Linked DNA regions of Macaca fascicularis. The protein of the gene in region 2 interacts with the protein of the main gene of each other region in a pairwise test. Links are inferred from orthologs where the notes say so. Each region holds a gene or a part of one and is shown on either strand. Other genes may lie near its edges. The genes, in order: CSTF2, TFG, ANXA11 and SPG21.

Region 1 (7,495 bases), on a different chromosome or scaffold from region 2:
TATGAAGCTACTGAAGAACAGTTGAAGGACATCTTTTCTGAGGTTGGACCTGTTGTTAGTTTCAGGTGAGATCCCCTTTTACTTCATGGTGGGAGCTTCTTAAAAATTACCACAGATTTGGCTCTTAGTAATGGCAGGTTTTCTTTACTGGTGACTTTTCACATACACTTTATTCTTGTAACAGCTTTATTTAGATATAATTGATATACTATACAATTGACATTTATTCTTACCTAAAATATGTTTTTTTCATTAAAAATGTTTTTTAGGCAGGGCGTAGTGGCTCTTGCCTGTAATCCCAGCACTTTGGGAGGCCGAGGCAGGCGGATCACCTGGGGTCAGGAGTTCGAGACCAGCCTGACCAATATGGTGAAATCCCGTCTCTACTAAAAATACAAAAATTAGCTGCTGTGGTATCGCATGCCTGTGTCCTAGCTACTCAGGAGGCTGAGACAGGAGAATTGCTTCAACCCAAGAGGTGGAGACAGCAGTGAGCCAAGATCGTGCCACTGCACTCCAGCCTGGGCAACAGAGCGAGACTCTATCTCAGGGAAAAAAAAAAGAAAAAGTTTTAAAAAATATTTCTGTGAGGCTGTCAGAGCTGTAAAGTTATTTATGTTACAGTGGGCCCAATTAAAGCATGGCAATGTTAGCAGGAACCCTGTATGTGTGTAACATTTGTTCCTGACACTTGGTTCTGCTCTCCAGATTGGTATATGATAGAGAGACAGGAAAGCCAAAGGGTTATGGCTTCTGTGAATACCAAGACCAAGAGACAGCACTTAGTGCCATGCGGAACCTGAATGGGCGTGAATTCAGTGGGAGAGCACTTCGAGTGGACAATGCTGCCAGTGAAAAGAACAAAGAAGAGCTGAAGAGTGAGTACAAATCCAACTTGGATGCAGTGTGAGTTAGTAAAGATGTAACAATGAAGATTTTCCGTTTCTGCTATGTTTTAGAATATGCTGAAATGGTTAGCCACACAGCTTGTTTATTACTTGACTGATCTGATGTGCCTGAGTTAGGCAAGTATTATATATATCTTTTAAAAAATTTTTTATAAATTTTTTTTCAAGTAATTGTCTGAAATTTCTATACCCTTGCTCTGGATGGAGCAGGGCAAGGCCTCAAACCATTTCAAAACTGTTCTGGCAAGCACTGTAGGAATGCATAGGGTCACTGCAGACCTAAGCATGCTGGAGACTTGCTAGTAAGTGTATATCTTTAAGAAACTGTAAAGTTGACATTAGAAATGCTTCAGTTGCTCCAGCCTGGGCAACAGAGTGAGACTGTCTCCAAAAAAAAAAAAAAAAAAAAAAACGAAATTTTTCCATTGTTAAGGAGTTATTTCCAGTTAAAGATGAATTCAAATTCATCAAGCCATTAGTAGTACTAACTATGGCATTAGTCATTCCTGTCACTGTTTTCAGGAGTTTTTGAAATTAGCATGTTTTTCTCTTTTAACATTTTGTTTCTGAAATGACTTGTCAAAAGAAGTCAGTGTTCCCAGTTCTCTAACTTAGGTTAACATTGTCCTTCCATGTGATCATGATCCCCAGCTTTCCTCTGAGAACAGAAAATACACTCTCACTTTCCTCCACAGAAACAAGAGGCTTTCAAATCATTTATTTCTCAGCTCTGGAGAATCTAAAATTATCAGCTGGTTCTTACAGCAGCCCTGAAAAATAGATACTTGAAATGATTTAGCTTTTTGTTTTGCCTCCCTAACTTTCTTGTACTTTCTTCTTGATTAGGCCTTGGCACTGGTGCCCCTGTCATTGAGTCACCTTATGGAGAGACCATCAGTCCTGAGGATGCCCCTGAGTCCATTAGCAAAGCAGTTGCCAGCCTTCCACCAGAGCAGATGTTTGAGCTGATGAAACAAATGAAGGTGGGAGGAGGCATTAGGTTATGAATAAAGCAAACCACATCAGGTTTTCAAGGAGTTAATTGAATCAGTTCCCTGAGCTCAAATAGAAATTGTCTGTAGACCACCATTTCTTGCACCTTCAATATTCTGTATGTACACAGTATATTTTACATTTTGTACAAAGAGCTTTCTATTTTTGTACACAAACACAGCTATCCAAACAATCCAGCTGGATTTTTGTGGCCCATAGATGTCAGATGTAGATATTAAAATTTGGCTTTTTTCCTAAATGATAGTATCACAGTATTTGAAATGCCTCTTTCTTCTCTTGCCTGCCATGACCAAGGTTTTTTTGTGCCATGCAAAAACTAATGATAAAGAGCCTCTTGAATATTACATTTCTCAGAGGGGAATGACTCTAAATCACTATCAGTTTCTAAGTCATAAGTATTAAACCTGAATCTGCTTATCTTCTCAGCTCTGTGTCCAGAATAGTCCCCAGGAGGCACGGAACATGTTGCTTCAGAACCCTCAACTGGCTTATGCTTTGCTGCAAGCACAGGTAGTGATGAGAATTGTGGATCCGGAAATTGCCCTGGTGAGTGCTTCTGGTTCTTTTATGGAAATGGTCGGGTAAACCTTGAGTGGGATAGGAACTACCTGATTGCTTTGTTAAACAGACAGCTTATAGGTTTGTCTTTTCACTTTTTAGAAAATTCTGCATCGCCAGACAAATATCCCAACGCTGATTGCAGGCAACCCTCAGCCAGTCCATGGTGCTGGGCCTGGGTCAGGATCCAATGTGTCAATGAACCAGCAGAATCCTCAGGCCCCTCAGGCCCAGTCTTTGGTAGGGCTTTATCCCTTAACATTTTTTTTTTATCTGTCTTAGAATGTCATTTTCTTTTTAGGAGAATATATTGAAAGAAGAATGGTCAGGAACCAGAGATGATAATTTCAATTTCCAGGCATAAAAGCAATTTCCAGGTTGCAGAGCACATGACATCTGAATGAATATAGATTCGATTCCAAGTTTGTAAAACAAAGAGATCCTTCCTGTATGCCCTTTTCTTATAAGCTAACTTTGTGTGTATGTGCATGCCTGGCACTGTGGTTGGCACTTTGTTATTCCATATGCATTATCTCATTTAATCCTCAAAGCAATTGTATGAGGTTGGCACTCTTATTATCTCCATTCTTACCAATGAAAAAAGTAAAGCTTGCTTTCAAAGCATGACACAAAACCCTAAAGCCATAAAAAATTGATACATTTGAAAACTAAAAAATTTCTATATAAAGAAAAAAATAAGTATCAAAGACATGACAAATTGAGAAAAAGTATTTGCCACACATGTGATGGACAACAGACTAATAAAGAGCCCATAGTCATGCACAGAAATGTTTATTGCCTTAGAGTGAAAAATTGGAAATGTCCTAAATGTACATCAATGGAAGAATGGAGAAAATGTGTGGTACATTCATCCAGTGAAATACTGTACAACAGTTAAATGAACTACACGTATCAACATGAATGACTCTGAAAAACATAATTCCATACAGCAGTTAAGATGAACTAGGATACATAATATCAACACAAATAACTCCAAAACAATAACATACGGACATGAAACTAAGTGAATGTGGATGCATTCCCGAAATGTAGGATATATGTTTCTGCATAAATCCCCAAAATATGTGGAGTGAGTTTCAAAATAATATATTGAGTATGTAATGATTCCTATAAAATTTTAAAACATTAGGAAGATGTCTTAGCGGTCATCTAAGGAGAAGAGAGCACAGGATGCAATTGGGGAAGACCATACAGGCCATTGGTGTATTTTATTGTTTATTTCCCAAGCTGCGTGGCTATTTTATTTCCTATATGATTTGTATATCTGTAATTTTTCATAATACATTTTAAAAGGCCTCCTATAAATTAGTAAGAAAATTTCCAATAACCCAGTAGAAAAATGGGAAATGGACATAAATATTTCACAAAAGTAGAAATATAAAGTAAATATATAAAAATGTATTCAACCTCAAAATAAGATAATGTAATAAATTATTAATACATGTAACGTTAAAAGATAATGTAAATAGAAACTACAATAAGCTACCATTTTTCATCTCTCAGATTGGCAGAGGTATAGGGCAGGAGCCAGCAAACATTTTTCTGTAAATGATCAGATAGTAAATATTTTTGGCTTTGCAAGCCACAGGATCTGCCACAGCTACTCTGCCATGGTAGTATGAAATCAGCCATAGGCAATATGTGAACAAGTGTGTGTGGTTGTGTTCCAATAAAAGTTTGTTTACAAAACCAGGCAGTGAGCCCGATTTGACCCATGGGTCATCGTTTGCCAGCTCCTGCTCTAAATAAATAAATACGTTTTCAGAGATAGAAAAGAGAGGTTAGCTAGTCCAAAAATGGACACAATTGTAAGTGGCAGATATAGTTCTGAACCTGGTTTTATCTGACCTCATACCCAGTTTTCTCTTAACTACCTTCCTATACAGCTCTTCCTTTTCTGTTGTAGAGTTTTGTGTTCCTTAAACGTGTATGTAATTTTTTTTTATATAACTTGGCTTTTATTCTTTATTTATTGAGCTGTTTCTTTTTCAAGGGACTACGCAGTTTTTTGGGGAATGCACAGATGAAAAGTTGACATTCTCTTTTTCTCAAAGAGTTTTAATGTAGCATTAAAAAAAAAAAATTCACATTCCCCCAGAACCAGAATTATGTCTAAGGACAGGAGTGAGAAAAGATTGGTTAAATTTAAATTTAAAAAAAAAAAAGAAGAAGAACATTTAATTTTAAAAATGTGGACTACTAGCAGTTGTTGTGTTTTTTTAAAAAGAGGCCCAGTCTCCTTTTTTCTTTCTTGGGTTTAGGGCTTTTTTTTTTTTTTTTTAAACTCTTATTGCCAGGCCCCAGTCATGAAGTTAACAATAGGTGCTATGTGCTGCCTTGCCACACAGATAAGACTTGTCAATCTCTACATTGAGAATATGTTCCATCTTAACCGTGTTCCATATAACCAGGCTCATGATGTGTATTGCAACTTGCTTCTGTGGAGTTTAAAGTGTGTGACAAATCTAATGCTGCATAAGACATGCCATACAAAAAGGATGTTTGGTAGTATATTTGGGGCTGTTCATTTGAAGAGGACTTTTAAGGTCATAGACTTAGTATTGAGTCTCCACCGAGGCATGTACATACTCTGTTTTTTTTTTTTCTTGGTCAGGGTGGAATGCATGTCAATGGCGCACCTCCTCTGATGCAAGCTTCTATGCAGGGTGGAGTTCCAGCACCAGGGCAAATACCAACCGCTGTCACAGGACCTGGCCCTGGTTCCTTAGCTCCTGGAGGTAAGTTTCATTTAGTCTTCGCCATTTCAGTACTCGCTAAAGTTTTGTCATAGGCACTGCTGCAGTGCAGCCAAATATGATAATGGGATCCTTAGGTAAAATTAATCCACAGCTAGAAAGTATATAACTTAGGTGGAGGAAATAGTAGATTTCTTATGTTAAATCCTACATGTCTAATTATAAGAACATGGAAAGGGACAGTAAAGTGAAAGAGCATAGTAAAACTTCCAAGTTAATGAGGGGGAAAATGGAATGAGTGAAAACGAAATCAAGCCAGCAAAAATAGAGAAAAGAAAAAAAGGAAGAGGCAGTGTAAAATAAGTAGTAGTAAATGTAGAGTAAGATGGAAGGAATAAAAACTAATGTAGTTGTTACTGTGCTAAATATGAATGAACTATTGGGTTCAAAAGCTCATGAAGAAAACAGACAAAAAAACACAAGGTCACATTTGTTATATCATATTAAACTGACGTAAAATTGTATTTTAACAAACATAATCAGACCAAACAACAAAAGGGAAAAAGAGAAACTTAAAAGTTATATACATTTATTGAAAGTGTATAGATAGGCAATTAATAATAGTATTGCTCATATACTTGTAACTGTTCCTTGTTCAACAATTGTAACTAAGAAGATTGAGTGAAATAATGATTCCCCGTATGAAACATCTGTATGAACACATGATGTATTACCAATATTTGAAGTTTTTTTATGTAACAAACTTGCTTCTTGTTAATTTATCTAATCTAGGGTACGTTGAGTACAACACTAGTCATGGAGAATGATTTAATTCTAAATTGTCCTGTTCTGTAGAGAATCCAGTCTGCAGAGCTAAGTTGATGAGGAATGGAAGAAGAGATTTTTTAAAGAAATTTCTGCAAACTCAGCAATTTTTTGTATCTACTTCAGGATTGTTATGTATCTGCTTTATCCTAATAGAGTTATACTTATATTTAGATTATCTTTCATGAGAGGAGATCCATGAGTAAGTGATACTGTTTTCCTGTATTATAGAAGAGCTTCCTGCTAAGAGTTTGGTAACCAATGAGATGAATTTTTCTTATTGAACTCACTATTCTGTCACTGAAACAAAGTACAAATTGTAAATATACTAACAAACCGCATCTTCTATCTCATTGCATTGTTGAATATCTTCCTTTGTAGGTTTCTGCTTGTGGAGCAGAATGAGGAAATTTGTAAACTCAGCCCCTGTTCTAAGTTTTCTTTTCTGCTGTTCTAATTGGTGTTTTTTCTTGTCTGCCCTTTGTCTTCTAGGAGGAATGCAGGCTCAGGTTGGAATGCCAGGAAGTGGACCAGTGTCCATGGAACGGGGACAAGGTAAATAAATGTTTATGTCTAACTAATGTGAATTGGTCTTGGAAGTGTTCCACATCCACAGTATCTAATATGGCAGCCACTAACCACCCATGGCTATTTCAATATTAAGTTAATTAAAATTAAGTAAAATTTAAAACTCAGTTCCTTAGTCACAATAGCCACATTCCAAGTGCTCAGTGACCCTAGGTAACTAGTGGATACCACACAGGACATTGCAGATATAGACCATTTCTGTCATCGTAAAAAGATTTATTGGACAGTGCTGGTCTAGACTTTCCACCTGGTGATTCAGAGCCCAGCTCTACAAGAATTGATAATGAAGCAAGTGGATCCTTTGTTTCCTGATTCCTAGTCTAATAATTCCACTGACATGTTCTCTCTCCCTGTATGGGTATCTGTTGACTGATTAAGGAATTTTAATAATGAGCATGTAAATATGTGGCTGGGTATGTAGAAGACTAGATTTAAACCCCAGAGAAAACTGGAAGGGGATCATAGGTCTGTAAAGCCTACTTAATGAACATCTGTTGTGCCGTGGCTGTACTGCTGTATACAACAGTAGCTGCCGTTCCAAAATCTCCACATTATGTCTTCATGTTACTGGAGTTTGAAGGACAAGAAAGTGCAGTGGTTCAGTTGGAAACAATGTTAGGAGGAGAGATGGTAAGAAAAGAAAAGGAACTGAGTGCATACTATATGCCAGGTACTTTAATTTTCATAAATAATCTTGTGAGTTAGGTGGCAGCACCTCAGTTTTACAGGCAAAGAGTTGGAAGCTCAGAATAAGTTACTTACTCAAGGGGACAAGGTAAGTAAATATTAATGTATGAGTAATCTGGACTGGATTTGGTGCTCTTATTCTCTTTTCCAGCTAATAAGTGGCAGAGCTAAGATTCAGAAGTCTTTGACTCCAAAATC
Region 2 (7,495 bases):
GCCATCTGCAAGCTGGGGAAAGAGAGAAGCTGATGCTGATAGTGGCTCAGTGACTCAGTCCAAGTCCAAAAGCTTGAAAACCAGGGAAGCTGATAGTGCAGCCTTTGTCTGTTGCCAAAGGCCTGAGAGTCCCCTGAGAAGCTGCTAATACAAGCCCTAGAGTCCAGAGGCCAAAACTGGAGTCTCTTGTCCTGGAGTCTGATGTCCAAGGGCAGGAGGAGTGGAAGCAAGCATCTGGCATAGGAAGGAGAGCAAGCTAAAGACCCAACAAGCAAACTTCTTCTGCCTGTTTTGTCATAGCTGCGCTGGCAGCTGATCGGGTGGTGCCCACCAACACTAAAGATGGGTCTTCCTCTCCTGGTTCACTGATTCAAATGTCAATCTCCTCTGGTAACAAACACCCTCACAGACACACCTGGAAACAGTACTTTACCAATCATTTGGCGTTCCTCAATCCAATCAAGCTGACAACTAATATTAACTTAATTAATTTAAACTTAGTTAATTTAAACTTTTAATTGAATATAATTTGGAGCTTAGTGCTCTTAAACCCACTAAGTAGATAATAACAGATTATAGGCCATACTAGGCATGTAAGTGCAAGGTTCTTGAGACTAAAGCTGTAGTTGGTAAAGCAGTAGCAGTCACTCATATTAGCCAGGATAAAAGGTTGTTTGGTCATTTTTCTGGTGTGGTCAGCGTTCTTGTTTTTGTCTGAATTTTGACATGGTTATGGACTGTTGATCTATCACAGATGATAGTCTTCTGTGATGTTGGTGTTCTTTGAAATATTTATGTTCAACAGGAGAACACCACAGCCTACCTGTGAGTGCCAGGCCAGCCTCTAGCAACACTAAGGCCTATCTTACTATACCAGACCAGTTTCTGGCTGCTAGGAGCTATTTTTCTCCTCTAATATGGGAGAAAAAACAGTAATACCAAGTGAAAACCAATAATTAATTGATGTAGGTAGGAGATTGTATTGAACTTCATAGCTATGCAGGGAGTATGTGAATTACTGGTGAGTTTTTTTCTAAAAGCTTATAATTGGTGGTTTGATTTCGAAACATATTTAACAAAGAATTGCCCTGAACTTTTATTTTCACATAGATGGCCTTTTCTAATTAGGTGCTTCAGGAGTTTGTGTGTATGTATACTGGCAATGCATAAAGCATTTTAGTTTAATTTTCGAACTCCTGTCTTGGGGTTTGCAATCAGAGCCTTGTGTCACTTTTTTTTCTTTTCTTTTTAAAAATAACCTGAGTGTTGACAGTGTTTGTTGCTGAATGAAGGAATTCATTTTTTTCAGTCAACTGAAAATCATTTGGTCTGGCATCAAATCATTTGACTTTTTTCCCAAAATAAGTTATTAGCCATAGAGAATTCCTTTTTTTAAAAAAAGTTACTCCATGACATCAATATCTTGTTTTTGTTTTTTTAAAGGAATTGTATTTATTTTTCCTTGTTGCATATTATTAGTATACTTATTCATGAACTTCTAATTTTAAGCAAATAAATGTTTTTATTTCAGTTAATGGCCAGCCAAGACCCCTTGAATCAAGTCAGGTGAAATATCTCCGTCGAGAACTGATAGAACTTCGAAATAAAGTGAATCGTTTATTGGATAGCTTGGAACCACCTGGAGAACCTGGACCTTCCACCAATATTCCTGAAAATGGTAAACCCTGAATCCATTGTATTCTGATTTATTGTTCTTACGTCTTTTTGGAGGTTTGTAAAAACTCTTTTTAAGTAGGAGAAGGATGGCACCCCCAGTGTCACTCTTGTTCCTCTGCCTCTCTACTAGTATTTATGTCTGTGTTCCTAAACCTTGCTGTTCATCAAGATTACTAGGAGGTTTCATTATACCAATTCCTGGATCTCATCATAGACCTACTGGAGTTTAGGAACTGGAAATCCCATTTTTAAAGTGTTTTCTGGGTGATTCGTTCACAACTAGTCTTAGACTTTTGGATTTGTTACACAGGTCAGTTTTCAAATCCTCTTGACACATGACCCTTTTTAGTATAATAGGTAAGTAATGAACCTTGGGAATTGAAAATCATTTCATGAATATTACGTAGTGTTGGAAGTAGTTTCAACTAAAAATCACTTAGATTAGTAATATTCATTAAAAATGGTACATTGTAAAGTTGAAACACAATTTTTAATAATATTTAAAGAAAAACTTTTTTTCCCCCATTTTATAGATGACATGTACTATTTGTGTTAAGATAAAGCAAGAAGTATCGACATTTGGAACTGACATAATTTTGGGACCAAATGTATTTTAAAATGTGGACTGAAATTTAAGTATGTGTTATGACTTGAAAGTAGAGTTAAAAAACTGCTTTCTTCTTTTAAGATTCTTAGATGTTGCATTTAAAGAAAACTCATTATTTTTTACAACTTGTTTGCTTATAATTTTCATATGTTTAGAACTGTCCATATTGTGAAATTAATTAAAAAGAAGTCTGGTCTGGATGACTGCATGTAAAGGGCTTAACACAAGATAATTTTTGTGGATAAATGGCATGTATTCTGTTTTTGGCCATTAAATAATTTGGGAGTTTTTGTTTTCTGTGTTTATTTTAGTTACAGTTTAAATAAAGACGTATTTTCCATCATTACTCTCTTCCTGTCTTCTAATAATCATGTGGAATTATGTTAATGATAGATAGTTAATAAATATTTGGTGATTGATTGGTGATTTCTAGTTCCACTTCTATTTCAGAACATAATGGGACAATTTTTCTAGAAGAATTCATAGATGCTGACACAACATTTGCATATAATTTCAGGGGATTTAACCATCTGCAAAATATTAAGAAATGTAGATGAGAATTTAACCAGTATAGCCAGTACTGTTCAGAAATTAGCTACAGTGGCCCACATTCTACTCTCAGGAATGGATTTATGAATTTGTTGGTTTAGGTGAAACTTTTTCCTCACCTATTTCTAGCTACTGTTTATACTTCATTCTTTGTTTCTGTATTTTTATACATATTATTGTTAGCTTTTTACCTATGTTAACGTAAAAGATGTTAAAATTGGTTTCTTCTCTGCATCTTGGAAGTCATGCCATGTGTTGTTTTCTTGTATGGCCATCTTCTAGTTATTGTGTCCTGTCTGACGTATCTGATGATAAGATGATATAAGAATAATACAATCTGCATTTTATTTTTAGAGATAGTTCTAATTTTAAAAAACAAAAACAAAAAAAAGCGCCCTACATCAGAAACTGAAATCTAGTCCACAAAATGAAATTGCCAATCAGCTATCAGTGCTATTCAGAACCTGTGGATTACCCTCACCAAGAAACATGGCTGCCTGTGGTCTTCAGCTCTCTATTACAGTGGTTCTTGGATGCTTGTTTTCCTCCAAGAGGCAAATGGTGTGTAAACTACCTTAGATAGAAGATTGACCTGTTGGCAGTATCTCCAGCAGTTAATGGAGCAAGTAGTAGGACATATAGTGTGTTTCCTGATCGTTATAGTTTGTGATAAGTGAAAAGAGGCATAGGTAGTGAGATGTGAGGGGAAACAATTGGTAAGAGTGACGTGGTATGCTCTTGGGATTAGAGGAAGGAACTTGGTAGGGAAGGTAGATAACTGGTAGACGTGTTTTAAAGGAATAGTTCTAGGGGTTTTCCTTTTCCAAAAACTTAGAAAATATTAGGGTAGCCTGGAATGGTATGTTAGGAATGAATGAGCTGCCAGCCAGTGTGTGCTGTGGGTATTTATATTCCTTTAGCACTTAGTTTTTTTCAGAAGATACATTTTGTATTGATTACTGGGGTGATCTAAGAACAGATATTCATTTACTTACTTGGTAACAAAAGTGATAATCATTGTTCCTTAATTGAGTAAATGATTAACAACAGTCCTTTTGTTTACTTGTTCGTGTGTTTTGTTTGTTTTGATGTCTTTTGTATCTTGGACTTGGATTCCTATTTGTAAAATGTAGGTTATTCTTGAACTCTTTCTTTCGAAAGACAGTAGTATAAATGCCTGTGGAATATCTTAGTATCCTTAGAAGAAAAGCATGATTTTAAATTTAACCTGCTTATAATATTTAACATTTTGTTTTTTGTTGTTGTTGTTTTAAACATTTTATTATAGAAAAGTTTAAGTATATACGAAAGTAGACATTATAATGAATCCCATAAACCCACATACAATTTCAACAGTTACCAACTTATGGTATCATATAATTATGGTACACACACTTTCACCACTCCTGTTACCCAGACTGGAGTGCAGTGGTACGATCTCAGCTCACTACAAACTTCTCCTCCTGGGTTCAAGTGATTCTTGTGACTCAGCCTCCTGAGTAGCTGGGATTACAGGCATGCATCACTGTGCCTGGCTAATTTTTGTATTTTTGGTAGAGATGGGGTTTTGCTAGGCTGGTCTCGAGCTCCTGGCCTCAAGTGATCTACCCACCTTGGCCTCCCGCCGAGATTACAGACATGAGCTATCGCACCCGGCTCCCCTCCTGTATTATTTTGATGCAGATCCCATATACATCATTTTATCTGTAAGCATTTGAATAAGTATTTTAATAAGTAATACATATTAAAATAGAAGGTAGCAAATTCAAAAATGTTTTTAATGTGCTATTTATGGAAGATTATGAATTAATTATGGTTGGCTTGATTTCCATGTAATTTAGTAGTGGACCACTAGACAGTAAAAATGAAATGTTAAATTTGAGATTATAACTTTAGTTAAGTTTCTTTTTATAAAATAAAGCCTTAGTTCCTATAATTGTTATTTCCAGAGTGCCCAGTGGGTATCTGATACTAGGATATAGGTCATTGGGCTCCAAAAAAAAACCAAAACAGTAAAATGTTTCTCTTTATCCAGGAGCTTGTATTTTTTTCATCTAATATTTCTTATGAAAGGAGGTAAATAACTTTTTTGGAAAAGCTGTTGTTAATCTTCTGTTTCTTTTTGCCCTCTCCTCCCTGGTACTAGAAGTAAAAATACAAAAAAGTATAAAGAAAGTAAAATGATTTATAATCTTATATTCAGACATACTTAATATTCCAGACTATCGTTGTACACATACGTTATTTCCCTATCTTGTACGTTTAGGCCTTACCGAGTATAGATAAAAAGGAAACACGTTTTTGTTTATTCCTCTCTTCTTGCAGATACTGTGGATGGTAGGGAAGAAAAGCCTGCTTCTGATTCTTCTGGAAAACAGTCTACTCAGGTTATGGCAGCAAGTATGTCTGCTTTTGATCCTTTAAAAAACCAAGATGAAATCAATAAAAATGTTATGTCAGCGTTTGGCTTAACAGATGATCAGGTTTCAGGTAAGTTAGTTTCCAACTCCTTTATACCCTTCCTTTCCTTCATCTTTCCTTTCTTTCCTTTCGTTCTTTCTTTAATTGAAGAATAACTTGGATATGGTGAAGTGCACAAGTCTTAAGTGTTCTGTTTAACAAATTTTTACATATTTGTACACTTATGTAAAAGACTAACTAGATTAAGATGTAGATTATTTCCAATACTCAGAAAACTTTCTTATGTCCTCTCCCCAACAGTAGCACCCTCCCCCTTAAAGAATAACCACTGTTGGGTTCAAGTAAATTTTTGAAAGTAAAATTTAGAAAGTTTGCAAAAATCTGAACTATTTTATAATTTGATTAGTTGCAGTATTCGAATTATATTTGATTTGTCTTTTCTCTTAGAGAAATTGAAAATTATATGTAGATTTTCTGGTTAAATTGCTTGAGTATAGAGTGGATTTGTATATAAACAAATTTTTAACCTTAAAGCAGTACCTATATTGTTTTATTCTTTTTAACTTTTGGTTATAATTTCTTTATTATTTTTTCCCGCTTCTTTTTCTCTTTTCGGATTCTAATAACACATTAGAGAGCTTGATACTCTCTCATGGGTCGTTAAGGTTCATTTTTCTTCAGTCTTCTCTCTGTTCTTCAGGTTGGGTGATTTCTGTTGAACTCTTCAGGGTCACTGTGATTTCTAATATGCTGTTGAACCTTTCTAGTGAATTATTTAATTGTGCTTTCAGTTCTAGAATTTCCATTGAGTTTTTATAGTTTCTGTTTTTCTGTTGAGATTATTTGACATTCATTAAGACTACATTTTCCTTTAATTATTTGAATGTATTTATGTTTGATTCTTTAAAAATATTTAGAATAGCTGCTTTAAAATGTTTATCTGCAACATCTAACACTTGGACCCATTTGGAGTCAGTTTCTGTTGACCGGGTTCCTCTCCCCCACACACACTCCCCAACTCCCGTAGGGTCACATTTTTCTGTTTCTTTGCCTGTCTAATAGTGTTTGGTCGAAAACTAGACATTCTGGTTAATATGTTGTAGTGACTTGGGATTCTTTATATTCTTTTGAGGATCTGGCAGGGAGTTCATTTGTGTGGACTTTATCAATATAAATAACAAACAGAAAAGGGCTCTCTAAAAGAAAAAGGTATTTGGGAATAGAGCATTACATTGAAAATATGCATGCCATAGTAAACTGTGTGCATATTCAGTGAGGTAAAGTCAGACAAAATTTTTAAAGGAAAAATGAGAATACGTAATTGTTTTGAAATAATTATTGTTGGCTACGAAGATCATTAGCAAGAGTGATGCCAGTCTGAGGTTGGACAGGCAGTTTCTGGGCAGATGTCCTCACAGTCACAGAAGTATTGATTTATTTATTTTTGTAAAGTTGTGATGGCCTTTGTGTAGGCTTGTGGTTTTTGAACTCTTTTGTGATAGTTTTTCTAAGAATCCTCTCTTCATGGCCATATCAGAGTTTTTTATATTTTTTAACATTAATGACTTCATTTTGGTTTTGATAACTTTCACATACTCAAAACTACTCCTCCTTTCTCCCTATGGTGTATAGCAGCTGATATGTATGCTCAGTCCTTTCAGCTTGCTCCAGGTGCTGCTTTTTCTCTGAGCCTTCTTGAGATCTCCTCCTCCGCTCTCCCAGCCCTACAGTCAGCTGTGGATTTGGGCGGAGTATATATACCTAGATTTTGGGTCTTACCCTTTCAGTGGCACCCTCACTTCAGGGATTTTCCTCCTAAATCTTCAGCTGCTTGTCCAGCCATGAGGTGGTTAACACTGTGGTTTTCTGCCATTGGAGCTGCAGAGGTCAGCGCTTTTAATTCTTATCCATTCTAGTTTTATTGGGGTAAACTCTGGTTTCTGATTGACTTTCAGTTATTTCAAATAGTTTCTTTCGTTCATGTTTTTAGTTGTTACCTGGGGGAGAGTTTATCTGATGGATTTACTTTGCCTTTATCAGTAGTTGGAAATGTATACGGTGTATTCATTTTGTATTTCTTAGAGACTTTCATGGAATTACTCACTAAATAAAATTGTGTGAAAATCTGATGTGGTCAGACTTTTAAATTTTGATTTAAATGTACTGTATTCCAGGTAGAATAATATTAATATGATTCACATTATTTGAAGACCATTTTTCTCACAGCTTTGTGTGTTGAAT
Region 3 (7,960 bases), on a different chromosome or scaffold from region 2:
GAAATGATTGGTTTACTTTTATTTAAATTTTATTTATTTATTTATTTTTTGTAGAGACGTCTCTCACTGTGTTGCCCAGGCTGGTCTTAAACTCCTGGTCTCAAGTGATCTTCCCACCTTGGCCTCCCAAAGTGCTGGGATTACATGCCTGAGCCACTGGGCCCCTCCCCAAATGATTATTATTATTTTTTAAAAAACTGAAGTTTGAAAACAAAAAAAGAATGGAAAATATACTTCTAAATAGTCCACGAATTAAGCGTACAATACTAACATAAAAAACAAAATATTGGCCAGGCACAGTGGCTGACACCTGTAATCCCAACACTTTGGAAGGCTGAGGCGGGTGGATCACCTGAGGTCAGGAGTTGGAGACCAGGCTGGCCAAAATGGTAAAACCCCATCTCTACTAAAAATATGAAAATTAGCTGGGTGTGGTGGTGCGCACCTGTAACCACAGCTACTCAGCAGGCTGAGGCAGGAAAATCTCTTGAACCCCGGAGGTGGAGGTTGCAGTGAGCCGAGATCGTGTCACTGCAGTCCAGCCTGGACGACAGCGCGAGACTCTGTCTCAACAACAACAACAAAATCCAAATATTTATAACTAAGAGATAACAAAAGCATAGCATATTAAAACTTGTGATATTCAGCTAAAGCAGACTTTTGAGGGAAATGATAGTCATATATACTCATTAGAAAACAACAAAAGAGGCCGGGCGCCCTGACTCACATAAAATAAAATTTTTTTTAAAAACGAAGCTTTATACACCATACTACTCAGAGCTATATAGCAAGTCACCATTTTTTACCAGGCACTCACCTTCCCTTACCTCGTGTGATGTTTCTATGAGCCCTGGGAAACAATGAAGCAGCGGTGATTTTATGGATTTTTATAGGTCACGTTGAAGATTTTATAGGTGAGAAAGCCGAGGCTCGGAGGATGCACGACTTGCAAGTGTCAGAATCAGAACTAGAATAGATCCCACACATTTGAACACCGAGTTTGGTGTCTTTTCCTTCACACCGCGTTCTCTGGGGGTGCCTGGGCAGTGACCCCTGACATTGGCCTTGAGGATTAGGACCTCAGCTCGGGTCCTCTGCAGAGGCTCCTCAGTCCCTAGTAGCTTGCTGGCACCTAGCTGGGGCTAAACGCAGGTTTGTTGAAAATTATAAAAGGGTAAGCCCAGGGGTAGCTAATTCACCATTCTAGGTTCGAAGAGCTCTGACGCAGAAAGGTGTATACATCCAGCAGGAATTCCACCCTACGTGATTTATTATCAACTTGGTATTCTAGGTATTCGCTCAGCCACGGAGAAAAATGGGCCATTCAAAGACGCTGGCCTTCGCGGTCGCTGTGGGGCTGCAGAGCTGGCGCAGGCGTCCATGCAGGGGGGCTGGGTCGGCGCCAGGAGTCCTTCCCGGACCAATCCCCGGGCCCAGAGAGAGCGCCTGGAGACATTACCACTCCAGGAACTTCACCCAGTTTCTTGGAGGCTTCACACCCGCGCCCTCAGTCCTGCCATCTCCTACGCCGCAGCGGGCGCCGCCACCGGGGTAGTAACCCACTCTGAGAGTCTTTCTGGTGGTGCCTCTGACCCTCTGCTCTTCAGTTCCAGGCGACGTTTTCTCCGAGCCGCTCTGGAGACTTTGGCCTGAATTTCACCCTCACTCGCGGACTCATGTCCAAAAAATGTGGTCCAGCCCGGAAAGAGAGCCGCGCCTGTTGGTGGGGGTCGGGGGTGTTGGAGCGGCCACGGAATATGACTGAGCGCTCAGGGCCGGTTGTGAGGCCGGGGCCAGGATGCCCCAAGGCAAGGCGCTGTTCCTGCCCGGCACCAGCACAGCTGCCCAGACAGGGAGAAGGTCAGAGCCTCCCCTCCAGCCCTTCCCGCTTTTATTGTTCGGAGCGACTTTAAAACGCAAATCGGGCCGGACGCAGTGGCTCACGCCTGTAATCCCAGCACTTTGGGAGGCCGAGGCGGGCGGATCATTTGAGCCCAGGAGTTCGAGATCCGTGTGGCCAACATAGTGAAACCCCGTCTCTACTAAAAATATGAAAATTAGCCGGGCGTGGTGGTGAGCATCTGTAGACCCAGCAACTCGGGAGGCCGAGGAAGGAGAATTGCTTGAATCAGGGAGGCGGAAGTTGCAGTGAGCCGAGATCGTACCACTGCACTCCAACCTGGGCGACAGAGGGAGGCTCCATCTCAAAAAAAAAAAAAAAAAGGAAAATCGCACCAGCAGCTTGTTTGTAACAGTCAAACATAGGCAACAACCTAAATGTCCTTCAGTAAGGAGCTAGGTAGTGAAGAATGGTGAAGTGCACGATGGCGCGCAGTGTGCAGCGGATGGGAAGAACTAGGTCTGTTCGGGAGCGCTTCTATGGAAAGACCCTCCAAGATATAGTGAGTAAAAAAACATGTTGCAGAAAAGTACTGCAATATTGTTTTGTAAACAATACGTTTATGTAAACACACACACACACACACACACAGTATTGAAGAGAGATATTTTGGAAGGACACGCCTAAGAGTGGGCTGGGGGAGTGGAGAGAAGAGTGAATCTCAATTTTTATTCATTTTTTGAATTTTTTATTTTCAGTTTTTTAGAGACCGGGTCTCACTATGTTGCCCAGGCTAGTCTGGAAGCCCTGTCTTCAAGCCATCCTGCTGTCTTGGCCTTCCAAAGTGCTGTGAGATTACAGGTGTCAGCCACCACACATTAAAAAAAAAAAAATTGCATACCTACCATATATGCATATATTACCTGTGTGACCTTTTAAAAATAAGCTTTTTTTTTTTTTTTAGAACGTCTTTAGATTTACAGAAAAAGTGTGAATACAGGGAGTTCTCATAAACCCGAGTTTTTCCTATTACTAACATCTTATATTGGTGTGGCGCTTTTGCCACAATGAATAAACCAAAACTGACGCACTAAAGTCCATATTTTATTCAGTTGTCCTTAGTTTCTACCTACTATCTGTCCAGGATCCCGTTCAGGATACCACTTTACATGTCATTTTTATATCTCCGTGGGTTCCTCTTGGCTGTGACAGTGTCTTACACTTTCCTTGTTTTTGATGACCTTGCTAGTTTTCAGGAGTACTGGTCATGTATATGGCAAGGGCCTCAATTGATTTGTGATGTTTTTCTCATGATTACAGTGGGATTAGGTGTTCTTGGGAGGAAGACCACAAGCGGTGCATGCAATCAGTATGATTTACCGCTGTCGAGGTCACCTTGACGGCTGGGTGGTTGGTCAGGTTTCTCCATGATAGTTACTGACCGCTCCCTTCCTCACATACTGTGCGTGACCTTCCCCCCTCCACCACCACTGAGTGTTGATATGAAAGAAATGTGTTTGACCTTTTCAGTGTAAAAAGTTTTCTTTACCTTAAAGAGAGTCACTAACGACGCACACGGGGCTGGAGAGGATTTAGGAAATGCCCACCCCTGCAGGAGGGCGAATGCGGCTCTGCGCTGCACCGGGCGCTGCAGGGGGTTAGGGGCGACAGAGGGACCTCCAGAGCCGGAGACGTCCTGGAGCAGCTGCGCAGCCGGAAGGGCGCTGCTGCTCGCGGGCCCGCCCTGCCCAAGCCTCATCTCGGGGCGGGGCCGCGCTCAGGCCTCGCCCCTTCCCTGCCCTTCCCCCGGCGCCTGGGGCAACCGCGCCCGCGGAGTTTTCCGCCCGGCAGGCTCCTCCTCCCGCCCCGCCCTGAAGGCTGCGGCGCCCGCGACTCCCCAGTGCCCCGAGTGCCCCGCGAGCGGGAGTGGGACACAGCGCCAGGCAGAACCCAGGCACCGCGTCCGGGACGCCCGCGGAGAGAGCCACTCCCGCCCAAGTCCCATTTCGCCCCTCGCGTCCCGAGTCCCCGTGGCCAGGTGAGTGAGGGTCCCGGGCCGGCCGGGGGCCTGGGACCAGGCGGCGGCAGTGCACCGCGGCACCGCAGGTGAGGCCCGGGGCTGCCCCGCGCCCAGCCCAGCGCGGCCCTGCTGCTTCCTGGTTGCATTACAGGCGTGGGGGTGGGGGACAGAGGAGGCGTCGGCGGGTCCCGGGCTGGCCGTGTCGGCTTGGCAGCCCCCTCAATAAGCTTCGGCGTCGGGGGCTGCCCCCTCCTGTGCGGTCGGGGTGCACTCGCCGGCCCCCCCGGGCTCAGGGGTCAGCGTCTCAGTCTGGGCTTGGGTAAGGCCGGGGGCCGTGACCCTGGGCGGAGGAGGCAACGGGTGGCTGGAGGGATGCCGGAGGCCGAGCCCCGCAGCCCCGCGGGGCCCTCCGGGGTGCGCGCGCTCTTTCAGGCAAGGCTGGGGGAGAGCAAGCAGAAAAGGCTATCTTCAGGAACTTTCCTCCGTAACTGGGAGCACGCACATTCATGGGAGCTGCTACCATTGCAGTTTATTTGTAAGGAACTCTCCCCAATGTTTGAGAGAATGCGGGAGCCATCCCCGATGTTGTGCCTCCCTTCGCCCCTTCCCCAACTTTGATCCCCAGTTTCAGGAAGGGATTCCTGGACTTGTATCTCCCCATGGGTGCAGGCCAGGCCCTTAAGACTTAGAAAGGTAAAACGGTCTGTTGGTTTAAAGGAGACACGCGAAATTTGTCACCTAGAGACTTTGGAGGGGAAAAGTTAAGCCAGCCAGTGCTAGCCCAAGCTGGAAACAGTCGGCCCGGGGCATTTCTGTCTCTGCCCTCCAATCAGTGACCTCTCTGTAGAGATTGGGCGTTTGTGGTGGTTCTCCCATCTGTTCTCTGCCTTAGGCATGGAGTGGAGCTGTGAGGCCGAGCCCCTGCCCTGCCCACGCAACAGGGACTAAAGGTTTGCAGGGCATGCTCACCCTTCACTGGCTCTCTCATTGCTTTCCTCATTCCTTTTATGCGGCAGTCAACTGTTGGGGATTCCAGGAGGATTAACAGGCCCCCTTTCCTAAACGCATTCTTTGTGCTGCAAGGTGTTCCCTGACAAGGGAGGCCAGGTGAGGTGCCAGGGCAGTTTGTTGCCCTGGCATTGGGTGCCCACTACTTCAGGCTCCTGCATACCTTGCTATCTTGTCTCTGACTATTGTCTGTGCTTTGGTTTCCTCATCTGTAAAATGGGGATAATACTAATCCCTGCCTCACAGGTTTGTTGTGAGATTCAGTGCATTCATTCATTTAATAACCATACAGCGCTCAGGTACGGACCAGTCAGAACAGGTGGTGACTGCTGTACCACACTTGTGTGTCCCAGATGGGTGTCACCCAGATTAGCCATAAAGTGTGTGAGGCAGGCCTGGGTCATAAATAATCAGGTATAAGGGTCAGTAAATAGTAGCAGTGGAAGGTTCAGCTAAAGTTGAAATGCGCTTCTCCTGAACCGTCTTTCTGGCTTAGCTCATGCTAAGCTCATGCTGTCTGTCTTCCTGGAATGCCCTCCCTCCCCGTCTGGCCCAGGATTCTCCACCCTCCTGGGAGCCATCCTGGTGCCTGCTGCCCAGCAGGAGGGATGGGATATGCTCTGAGCTCACTCAGCCCCTCCAGCACTGACTCAGTTCTCATCTCTCACCTTGTGCGTAGTGTTTGTGTGGCCATGTGGCTTATCTCTGCCCTGTCTTCTGACTCTGGAGGGTGGAGGCTGTTTCTGACTTACCTCTTGGTGGTAGCACTCAGGATGGGCCTTGCCTAATGTAGGTGCTCAGAAAATTAGTTGTCGTTAGTTGAACAACAGAGGCAGCACAGGGAAGTAGTTTCCCTGTGGTTAAAGTATAGGACCTTGAAGGCTGGATTTGGATAGGCAGAGAAATGTGGGGAGGGTGAGATGGAGATGAATTGGGACTAAGAGGTGGGAGTGGAAGCCCCATCTGATGCCTTTATGCATGATATTATAGAAAGGGCTCACCCTGGGTGGACGTATCTAGAAGGCCAGGATCGATTAGTGATGCCTAGTTCACATGATTGGGGAGGTGATGTGTGACTTGGGATGACAGGAGTGGGAGTTGAGACAGAATAGGTTAGTGTGGGTTCTTCTTGGGAACTGTAGAATAGAGAAAAGAAACTGGTGTGGGCAGGAGGTGAATGTGGAACCAAAATGCATGCTGAATGCTGGAACATCAGAGGTTCCAGGACCTTTCTGGTGCACCCCCTCCTTCCTCCTGGATTCACTCCTCTTCTCCCTCTTTTTTTAATTTTTATTTTTTGTTGAGACAGATCTCATTCTGTCGCCCAGGCTGGAGTGCAGTGGTACAGTCTTGGCTCACTGCAACCTCTGCTCCCTGGGTTTAAATGATTCTCCTCCCTTGGCCTCCTGAGTAGCTGGGATTACAGGCATGCGCCACCATGCCCGGCTAATTTTTGTATTTTTAGTAGAGACGGGGCTTCACCATGTTGGCCAGGCTGGTCTTGAACTCCTGACCTCAGATGATCTGCCCGCCTTAGCCTTCCAAAGTGCTGGGATTACAGGAGTGAGTCACCGTGCCCGGCCTCCTCTCTCTTCTTCGCCACCGTCTTCCCCCATAAGCCTGAAGCAGTTCCTGGCACTTGGTCCCGTGGGGAAGCGTGTGTGCAAGGGTGTGCTTCACCAGCACTGCCAAGGAAACAGACTTTTCACTTTCTGTGGATTTTTCTCTGCAGCACTCTCTGATCCCATGACCCCCAGAATAGTGGGAATTCTGAGTGATACCTAGATAGGAAAGCTGTTAGGATGAATGAAGAAACTGAGGTTTTCTTGGTGGGCATTTGTGCTTTTAAAGGGAATTGTTGCAGTTCAGTGGAACTCTCTGATAACCGCTGAAACTGTTACACATTAGGCCTACTGATCCTGTCTCCTATAACCCATGAAATAAAGACCTGATAGTCACATAGTTGTTTGTTATTTGGGAGGATCCTAAAAGTACAGCCTGAACAGTGACCCAGACCACAGTTGGCCTTGCCCATGCTGAAGTGAGGAAGGAATGGGTGGGGGCAACCAAGAAATTGGGGGACAGAGTTCTCTGTGCTGGGTATCCTGGGACAAGCCACCCAGCTACACTGAGCCCCCCACACACAGAACAGTTCTGGATAATAAAATGCCTGCCTGGAATGGAGAATCAGATGAGAAGATGTTTGCAAAGGGGTTTGAGATCAGTTGGGGGTAGTGATGACAATGTTGATATGGTGGGTGTGTGACTGCCAGGAGTTGTGAAGCAGCGGGTGGAGCATGCCGTGGTCAAAGCCTGGTTCTGAGATCTCTAGTTTTCCAGGGGCTTAGGCTCCGCCTTAGCAGAAAAGAAGGAAAGGAAATTGAGAGGGAAGTCAGATGTCCCCTGCCCCTCACACCTGGGGGTGGCTGACTTGGAGGACTTGAGATGGGGGGAAATCTGAGTGAGGGCAGAGAGGAGAAATGTGGAGGCTACCCACGGGGAGGCTGGAGAGCATATGGCACATCCAGCCTGGGGAGTGGCACCGCTGGGGGAAAGGGTGCATGTGTCAGTGGGGAAGGAGTGGTGATAGCAGATGTGAGCTTGCTGTGTCCACTAAAAAGGTCACGGCTATTTTTAGGAAGTAGGTGACAAGGCATGTTCCGGTAGAACGGCTCATTACTGAGAACCCACTGTTGGCCTCACCCTGCGTGCTGTGCTTAAAAGAAGAGACCGCCCCCACTCACCCTAGAGTCATCCCCCTGGTGTCCCTGAGACATGGGACACTGGATGAGGACCAGGTTTGGAGGATGAAGAAGATCATGTATTTGGTTTTGGACATACTATGTTTGAGGTATCTTTGAGATACCAAATAAGCTGGTGGGTCTGGGGCTCAGGAGGAGTCTTGGCTAGACAGACATTTGTCTAGGTTGTGTTTGTGTTTGAAGTCATGGGCACAGCGAGATGGAAGAACTCACCTTGAACAGCTGAGTAAAGGAAGATGAGCCTATAAAGGACCCAGAAAAAGAGCTGCCTGAGAGGGGCCCAGAAAGCCAGCACAGAGTTGTATCCCAGGAGCCAGGGTGAGTCTGCTT
Region 4 (6,414 bases), on a different chromosome or scaffold from region 2:
CCCTGGCTCTTAGTGGAGGTTGCTCCCCTCATCTCTTCCCGTGTGCAGAGCTTCAGTAAATGGTTACAGCGCTACTTCAGAGTTTCTGAAACTGTGGTCTGATTTCCACAACAGAGATCCTCAGTGTTCATGCACTGGCAAGTGACAAGATCAGACCTGCGTGTGGACCACACAGAAGCTGGGTGGGGGTGGGAGGAAATGGCTGGTGGAGCCAGTGAGGACTGCAGTAGTCTGGGCAAGAGATGCCAAAGCCTGGCCTGTAGTGAGGAATGCTCAAGTCTGGAGGCAAGTTGCTAGATCTCTGAGAGTCAGGGGATGTGGGTGTAGTAGATGTGGAAATGCACTGCCTGGACCCCCTTCTTCCAGGAAGGCCTTTCCATCCAGCTGCGGGAGTGCACTGGGCAGACGGCCTCCAGCTGTCAGTCCTTCAGTGTCCGCCTCAGCTGCAGAGAGCTGCCCCACCGAACGCCCTACCTTCCCCAGGGCAGCTGCCTCTGGGAACTGAGCATAGAGACCCAGCCATTTTAGTTCTCCATGAAAATATTCCAGTGGGCACTTCAAGCTCCTGTGTGCCCTACCGAGTTGGCGGGTACTTGATCAGGCCTGGATCACAGTTCAATTTCGCTGTCTGCTCAATCCATCTTCTTTTCACAGATGTCTTTTTGTTTTGTTTTGAAGATTGAGTCTCACTCTATTGCTTAGGCTGGAGTGCAGTGGCACTCCATCTCAGCTCACTGTAACCTCCGCCTCTCTGGTTCAAGTGATTCTCCGGCTTCAGCCTCCCGAGTAACTGGGGTTACAGGCACATGCCGCTAGGTCTGGCAATTTTTTTTGTATTTTTAGTAGAGACTGGGTTTTTCTATGTTGGCCTGGCTGGTCTTGAACTCCCGACCTCAGGTGATCCAACCTCCTTGGTCTCCCAAAGTGCTGGGATTACAGGTGTGAGCCACCACACCAGGCCACAGATGTTGATCCTTAATAAACATCTTGCACCCCAAATTTCATCTCCACATCCACTTCAGCCTGAGACATAGGGGTGGAGGAGTGAGTGGGGGTGGAGGGTCTAAGATGGCTGCGTTCCTAACTGGGGATTCCAAGGAACAGTGATGCCAGGACCTAAGATAATAGGGCTAGACTACCAGCTTTAGCCTGGTAGTCTGTCGAAGGCTGGGATGCCTGTCAAAGGCTGGCCTGATAGGCCTGAGTACGCATTCAAGACCAGTACTCAAAATTGATCAGGGCTGGCAATGACAACTTGCAGTCATCAGGGTGCAGAGCTGGGGAGTAGTTAAAGCTGTCAGACGGCTCTAGTAGCCTCAGATGCTACTAGTTAAAATGTCAAGCTTCGCCCTTATGGTTTACCAAGTGTTTCCATAACTCACGACTGTTGTCAAGCCACAGATAGAGAAGACACTGTGGCCCCTTTGTGGAAAGATCACTGGTTTTAGGGATGGTCAGACTCAAGTTGGCATCCCAGCTCCACCCCTTACTGCTTGACCCTGAGCAAGTCTCTTGACCTCTCCCAGTCTCCAGGTCCTCACCTGTAAAGTCAGGATAATCAGGGCTGTACTGGGGATGAAGTCTAAGAAGGTATGGCCAACCCAATATTCCGAAACCTGGCACATAAAGGGAAAGAAGCGCTGATGCTTATTTTTCTGTCTAAATTGTACCTCAGCGAAACCAAGCAGTTGATGAGGGCAAGTTTTTGGTTTTTTTAAATTGGTAATTTCCAGTTAATAAATGCAGAAGGAAAGATAAAAATTAGTATTATTACTGTTCTGCAACCCCTAATGGAATGATGCATCTGTGCAATGGTCAGCAGTGGCAGGTAAGCCAGCAGACTTTCTCAGGACTGGATCAGGCTGATGATGCCGGAACACACCCAGCAATCATAACAACTTAGACACAACCAGATGTGATGTGCCTCTTGAGATGAGGCAAGAGAAACACACAGCCCCACCTATGCAGTGTTCTTGCCAAAAAGATCGAGCTTGACCTGATCAAGCCTCTTGATGTAACTACCAGTTTACAGGAAATACCAGGGACAGAGAAACAAGTGGAAGGACACCATGAGGCTGCAGTTGGAAAATCTGGACTGTGGGGCAACTACAGGGCAAATGAACCTGCTTCTTCACTGAATATATGGCAAGAAAAAAATAGAGGGAGGAGGAGCTTCCAGTTCAAAAGGAATCTAAGAGACACTTCAATCAAATACAAAGTGTGGACTATATATGAAACCCGATTAGAACAAGTCACCTAAAAAAAAAATTATGGAATAATTGTGAGTGAGAACATTCACTGGATTATTAGACAATATAGTGAAGGAATTATTGGTAAATAATTGAAGGAATTATCGGTAAATTTTTAAGTGTGATAATGGTATTAAGGCTGTATTTTAAAGGTACACATAGAAATACTTACAGATGAAATGATACAGCACCAGAAATGGCTTTAAAATAATTTAGCGATAGCAGCATGTGTGGAAGAAATGCGGGTAGGTTAAAAGATGAACAAGGCTGGGCACGGCGGTTCACGCCTGTAATTCCAGCACTTTGGGAGGCTGAGGCGGGCGGATCACCTGAGGTCGGGAGTTTGAGACCAGCCTGACCAACATGGAGAAACCCTGACTCTACTAAAAATACAAAATTAGCCAGGGTGGTGGTGCATGCCTGTAATCCCAGCTACTCGGGAGGCTGAGGCAGGAGAATCGCTTGAACTCAGGAGGTGGAGGTTGTGGTGAGTTGAGATCACGCCATTGCACTCCAGCCTAGGCAACAAGAGCGAAACTCCGTCTCAAAAAAAAAAAAAAAAAGACATAAGCAAGACTGAGAGTTGATAATTTTTGAAGCTGGGTGATGGGGACATCATTTATTATGCCATTTCCTCTACTTTATGTGGGTTTAAACATTTCCACTCAGGGGAAAGAATGAAGATAAGAAAGGTACCTGGCACACAGTAGATCAATAAACGATAGCTTAGGGTTATTTTATGATGTGCAAACTGTACTTCTGGGAGATTAAGTAACTTACCCAAAGTCACACAGAATTGACAACCATGACCTACTTCTCAGAAAGTCCTAAGCCTGTGTAGCCCAGTTGGGCAGCAACAATAATCACAAAAGCGACTCAGTGAAACTGAATTTTTATTCCAAATGACTGTAATAGCTAGAAAGGCAGTAGCTAACACTCAAAACAATTTGCTTAAGTGTAAATTAAAAGCAGTTGATTTGCAGGAGAGCAAACAGTGGGGTAGTGGCCATGGCACTCTGATCATGGTTATATCCAAGAAAGCATAAAATAACCAATGTCCCAATATGCAATCTGGATGTGCAGCATTTACAGCAAACAACATAAAAAGAAAGAAAGAAGAATGGAAAAGAAAAGAAGGAAAAAACACCACAAAGTTCCAAACCTCAGAAGTTAACATTCATTTAAGAACACAGTGGTGAAGACTTTTGGTAGCAAAATTCGCATGGTTCTTAAAATGGGAATCTTCGAAAGTACTTCTTCAAATTCAAAAGCTAAGAAAACCAAGAGGGAACACTTGCTCAGGCTTAGTGGAGCTGCTGCCTGTCACGAAGATGACCATCAGTCCTACTTCCCAGACACAGTGAGAACCGGTGAGCTTGACGAACCTGAAGGAAAAGGCCGACTGGCGGGCGCTGATGCCACTGACTATACGAGAACACACCGGGTCAACTCATCATTGACAGCGAGACACACACTACTGCTCCTCCTGGTTGATGCCAAGGCTGCCTTTCTGTACCTCAAGCTCCTCGGCACTGACCATTGATGGGTCAATGGCTGCGTATTTGGTTCCATGGAATTGTAGCAAATGTATCTGTTGAAATGCAGAATCATGATTTTATTTTATTTTATTTTTTGAGCTGGAGAGTCACTCTTGTCGCCCAGGCTGGAGTGCAGTGGTACTATCTTGCTCACTCCAACCTCTGCCTCCCGGGTTCACCCAATTCTCCTGCCTCAGCCTCCTGAGTAGTTGGGATTACAGGTGCCTGCCACCACGCCCAGCTAATTTTTGTATTTTTAGTAGAGACAGGGTTTCACCATGTTGGCCAGGCTGGTTTCAAACTCCTGACCTCAGTTGATCCATCTGTCTCGGCCTCCCAAAGAGATGGGATTACAGGTGTGAGCCACCGCACCCTGCCAGAATCATTATTTTAAATAGCTGCATTACAGAGTAAAATGTATACTGCCCTCTATAAAAAGTTTGGTAGGAAAACATCACCATAGTAGACAAATGTCTTATACTTCTAAAATTTACAGACTAATACATACTAAATAGAGAAAAGTCAAAGAATTTTTTGAAACTACATTTGGGATCTTTGTTCCTCACTCCCTGAGCAGTCTCCCTGAGTCCCTGCAGAGTCTCCTGAGACATCTTAGACTGTGCATGCTGATGAGACGTTTACCCTTCCCTTCCGCTGAGTTAGGTCCTTCCAATCTTCTGCTACTGTGACTAGTGCTGCTATGATGAATATCTCCGGGCATCAAGTTTTCCTGTTTAGGATCCTGTCTTTAGGACCCTGTCTTCTATAAGGGGATGACAGGATCAAGGAATATGACTGGTTTTTTAAGGCTCTTGATTCTTCTTGCCAAATTGCCAGGGCACTCACCCTTCACTGCTATTCTATTATCCATTTAGTTAGAGTATGAAGGGATGGTGTTTGTTAGTGCTTTCTTTTTTTTTTTTTTTGAGATGGAGTCTTGCTCTGTCGCCCGGGCTGGAATGCAATGGTGTCATCTCGGCTCACTATAACCTCTGCCTCCAGGGTTCAAGAGATTCTTCTGCCTCAGCCTCCTGAGTAGCTGGGACTACAGGTGCACGCTACCATGTCCAGTTAATTTTTTTGTATTTTTAGTAGAGACAGGGTTTCACTATATTAGCCAGTCTGGTCTTGAACTCCTGACCTTGTGATCTGCCCACCTCAGCCTCCCAAAGTGCTGAGATTACAGGCATGGGCCACTGCGCTTGGCAGGGTTTTCTTTTAGTGCATTAAAATTAGATCAAGAAGTCACTTCACAAGACTCAGATTGACCCCATTTAGGTCGGATGTCTTGCTCTGACGGAATTCACTATGTCCAGAGGGCAAGGTCACATCATACCAATGGTAACCTCGGTGTGTGAATGCAGGCCTGCTGTCCTTAGAAAAGGGATCTCTAATACACCTGTTCACATTATCCTACAAATTATAAATGTAAACCACTTTTATCAAGTCAATGCCTCATTCCTACAAGGAATTCTGTAGTTCCCTGATTCCCTTACTAGTCCATTAAAAAAAAAGGCTTTATGTTGCAAACGTATGTTGGGCTCAGAGTGCTCTGGGTTTCAAGCTAGGCCTTACCTGTACATAAAGATTCACCTCTGCACTTCTGCACAGGTATGGGAAATTGCCTCCTGTTTTCAGGTGAGCTCTTCGGGCATTAGGATACAGCTTGTACATTTCTTCTTTAGCTTCAGTTGAAAGTGCACTCTGATCAAACACCTTTAAAAAAACATAAAGCTTCAGCACCATAGGAAAGGTAAAACACACACACACATACACAAAGCTGTAATCGATTGGTGTTTTAATATGTTCTTTTCACACTATGGAAATGCTACCCTAAGTATTCCTTTCATATGAAGAGACAATTCTGAACCCCTAGCAGCCTGAACTACCTCCACTGCTGATCCCTGGTGACTTCTAAGTCCAACCTAGGACAATAGCTACAGATTTCGCTGCAGAGCATCTCCTGCATTCTTTTGGTGGGGGGAAGTTCTTTTTTTTTTTTTTTTTTTGAGATGGAGTCTTGCTCTGTCGCCCAGGCTGGAGTGCAGTGGTACCATCTTGACTCACTGCAACCTCCACCTCCTGGGTTCAAGCGATTTTCCTGCCTCAGCCTCCTGAGTAGCTGGGATTACAGGCATGTGCCACCATACCTGGCTAATTTTTGTATTTTTAGTAGAGACGGGGTTTCACCATGTTGTCCAGGCTGGTCTTGAACTCCTGACCGCAGGTGATCTGCCCACCTCAGCCTCCCAAAATGCTGGGATTACAAATGTGAGTCACCGGGCTCGGCTGGGGTGGGGGGAAATTCTACCATGAACTTCCTTTTTCCTCAAATATAGCTAAGTAGATTAACAGAATAATAGAGAACAATCATTGCAAATGCCAATAAATTTCAAAAAGATCATGAGGCCCCCAAAGAACTTTTTACTTTTATTATTAACTTAAAGCAACAACCTAAGTCATTTAGGCTCAGTGAAAAAAATTCCAAAAAAATGTAAAGAGTATAAGCTACTCTTTCTTGGGGAAGCCAGTTTGCAGCATATGACTCTAGACATTTTTCAATACCCATATACATTTATGTTTTTACATGCAACAAAATTTTTCAAAAAGTAAAAGAAGCAAAAAGT

Evidence for each region.
Region 1: the proteins of TFG (region 2) and CSTF2 interact in binary tests that used the Homo sapiens proteins (3 or more experiments, as listed by UniProt). The two-hybrid records come from large-scale screens. The link is inferred for Macaca fascicularis from reciprocal best matches to the Homo sapiens genes TFG and CSTF2.
Region 3: the proteins of TFG (region 2) and ANXA11 interact in binary tests that used the Homo sapiens proteins (3 or more experiments, as listed by UniProt). The two-hybrid records come from large-scale screens. The link is inferred for Macaca fascicularis from reciprocal best matches to the Homo sapiens genes TFG and ANXA11.
Region 4: the proteins of TFG (region 2) and SPG21 interact in binary tests that used the Homo sapiens proteins (3 or more experiments, as listed by UniProt). The two-hybrid records come from large-scale screens. The link is inferred for Macaca fascicularis from reciprocal best matches to the Homo sapiens genes TFG and SPG21.

The regions. Positions count from the first base shown.
Region 1 is NC_088395.1:107,485,984-107,493,478, forward strand, and holds part of CSTF2 (cleavage stimulation factor subunit 2), read left to right. Parts: coding exon 1-65; intron 66-708; coding exon 709-878; intron 879-1,077; exon of another isoform or gene 1,078-1,210; intron 1,211-1,754; coding exon 1,755-1,891; intron 1,892-2,348; coding exon 2,349-2,468; intron 2,469-2,582; coding exon 2,583-2,720; intron 2,721-5,115; coding exon 5,116-5,239; intron 5,240-6,514; coding exon 6,515-6,577; intron 6,578-7,495. UniProt on the Homo sapiens protein: One of the multiple factors required for polyadenylation and 3'-end cleavage of mammalian pre-mRNAs. This subunit is directly involved in the binding to pre-mRNAs.
Region 2 is NC_088376.1:182,314,924-182,322,418, reverse strand, and holds part of TFG (protein TFG), read left to right. Parts: intron 1-1,531; coding exon 1,532-1,678; intron 1,679-5,158; coding exon 5,159-5,323; intron 5,324-7,495. UniProt on the Homo sapiens protein: Plays a role in the normal dynamic function of the endoplasmic reticulum (ER) and its associated microtubules. Required for secretory cargo traffic from the endoplasmic reticulum to the Golgi apparatus.
Region 3 is NC_088383.1:66,603,446-66,611,405, forward strand, and holds the start of ANXA11 (annexin A11), read left to right. Parts: upstream 1-3,739; 5' UTR 3,740-3,878; exon of another isoform or gene 3,879-3,946; intron 3,947-4,002; exon of another isoform or gene 4,003-4,179; intron 4,180-7,813; 5' UTR 7,814-7,960. UniProt on the Homo sapiens protein: Binds specifically to calcyclin in a calcium-dependent manner. Required for midbody formation and completion of the terminal phase of cytokinesis.
Region 4 is NC_088381.1:41,550,117-41,556,530, forward strand, and holds the end of SPG21 (maspardin), read right to left. Parts: intron 5,504-6,414; coding exon 5,363-5,503; intron 3,841-5,362; coding exon 3,724-3,840; 3' UTR 3,126-3,723; downstream 1-3,125. UniProt on the Homo sapiens protein: May play a role as a negative regulatory factor in CD4-dependent T-cell activation.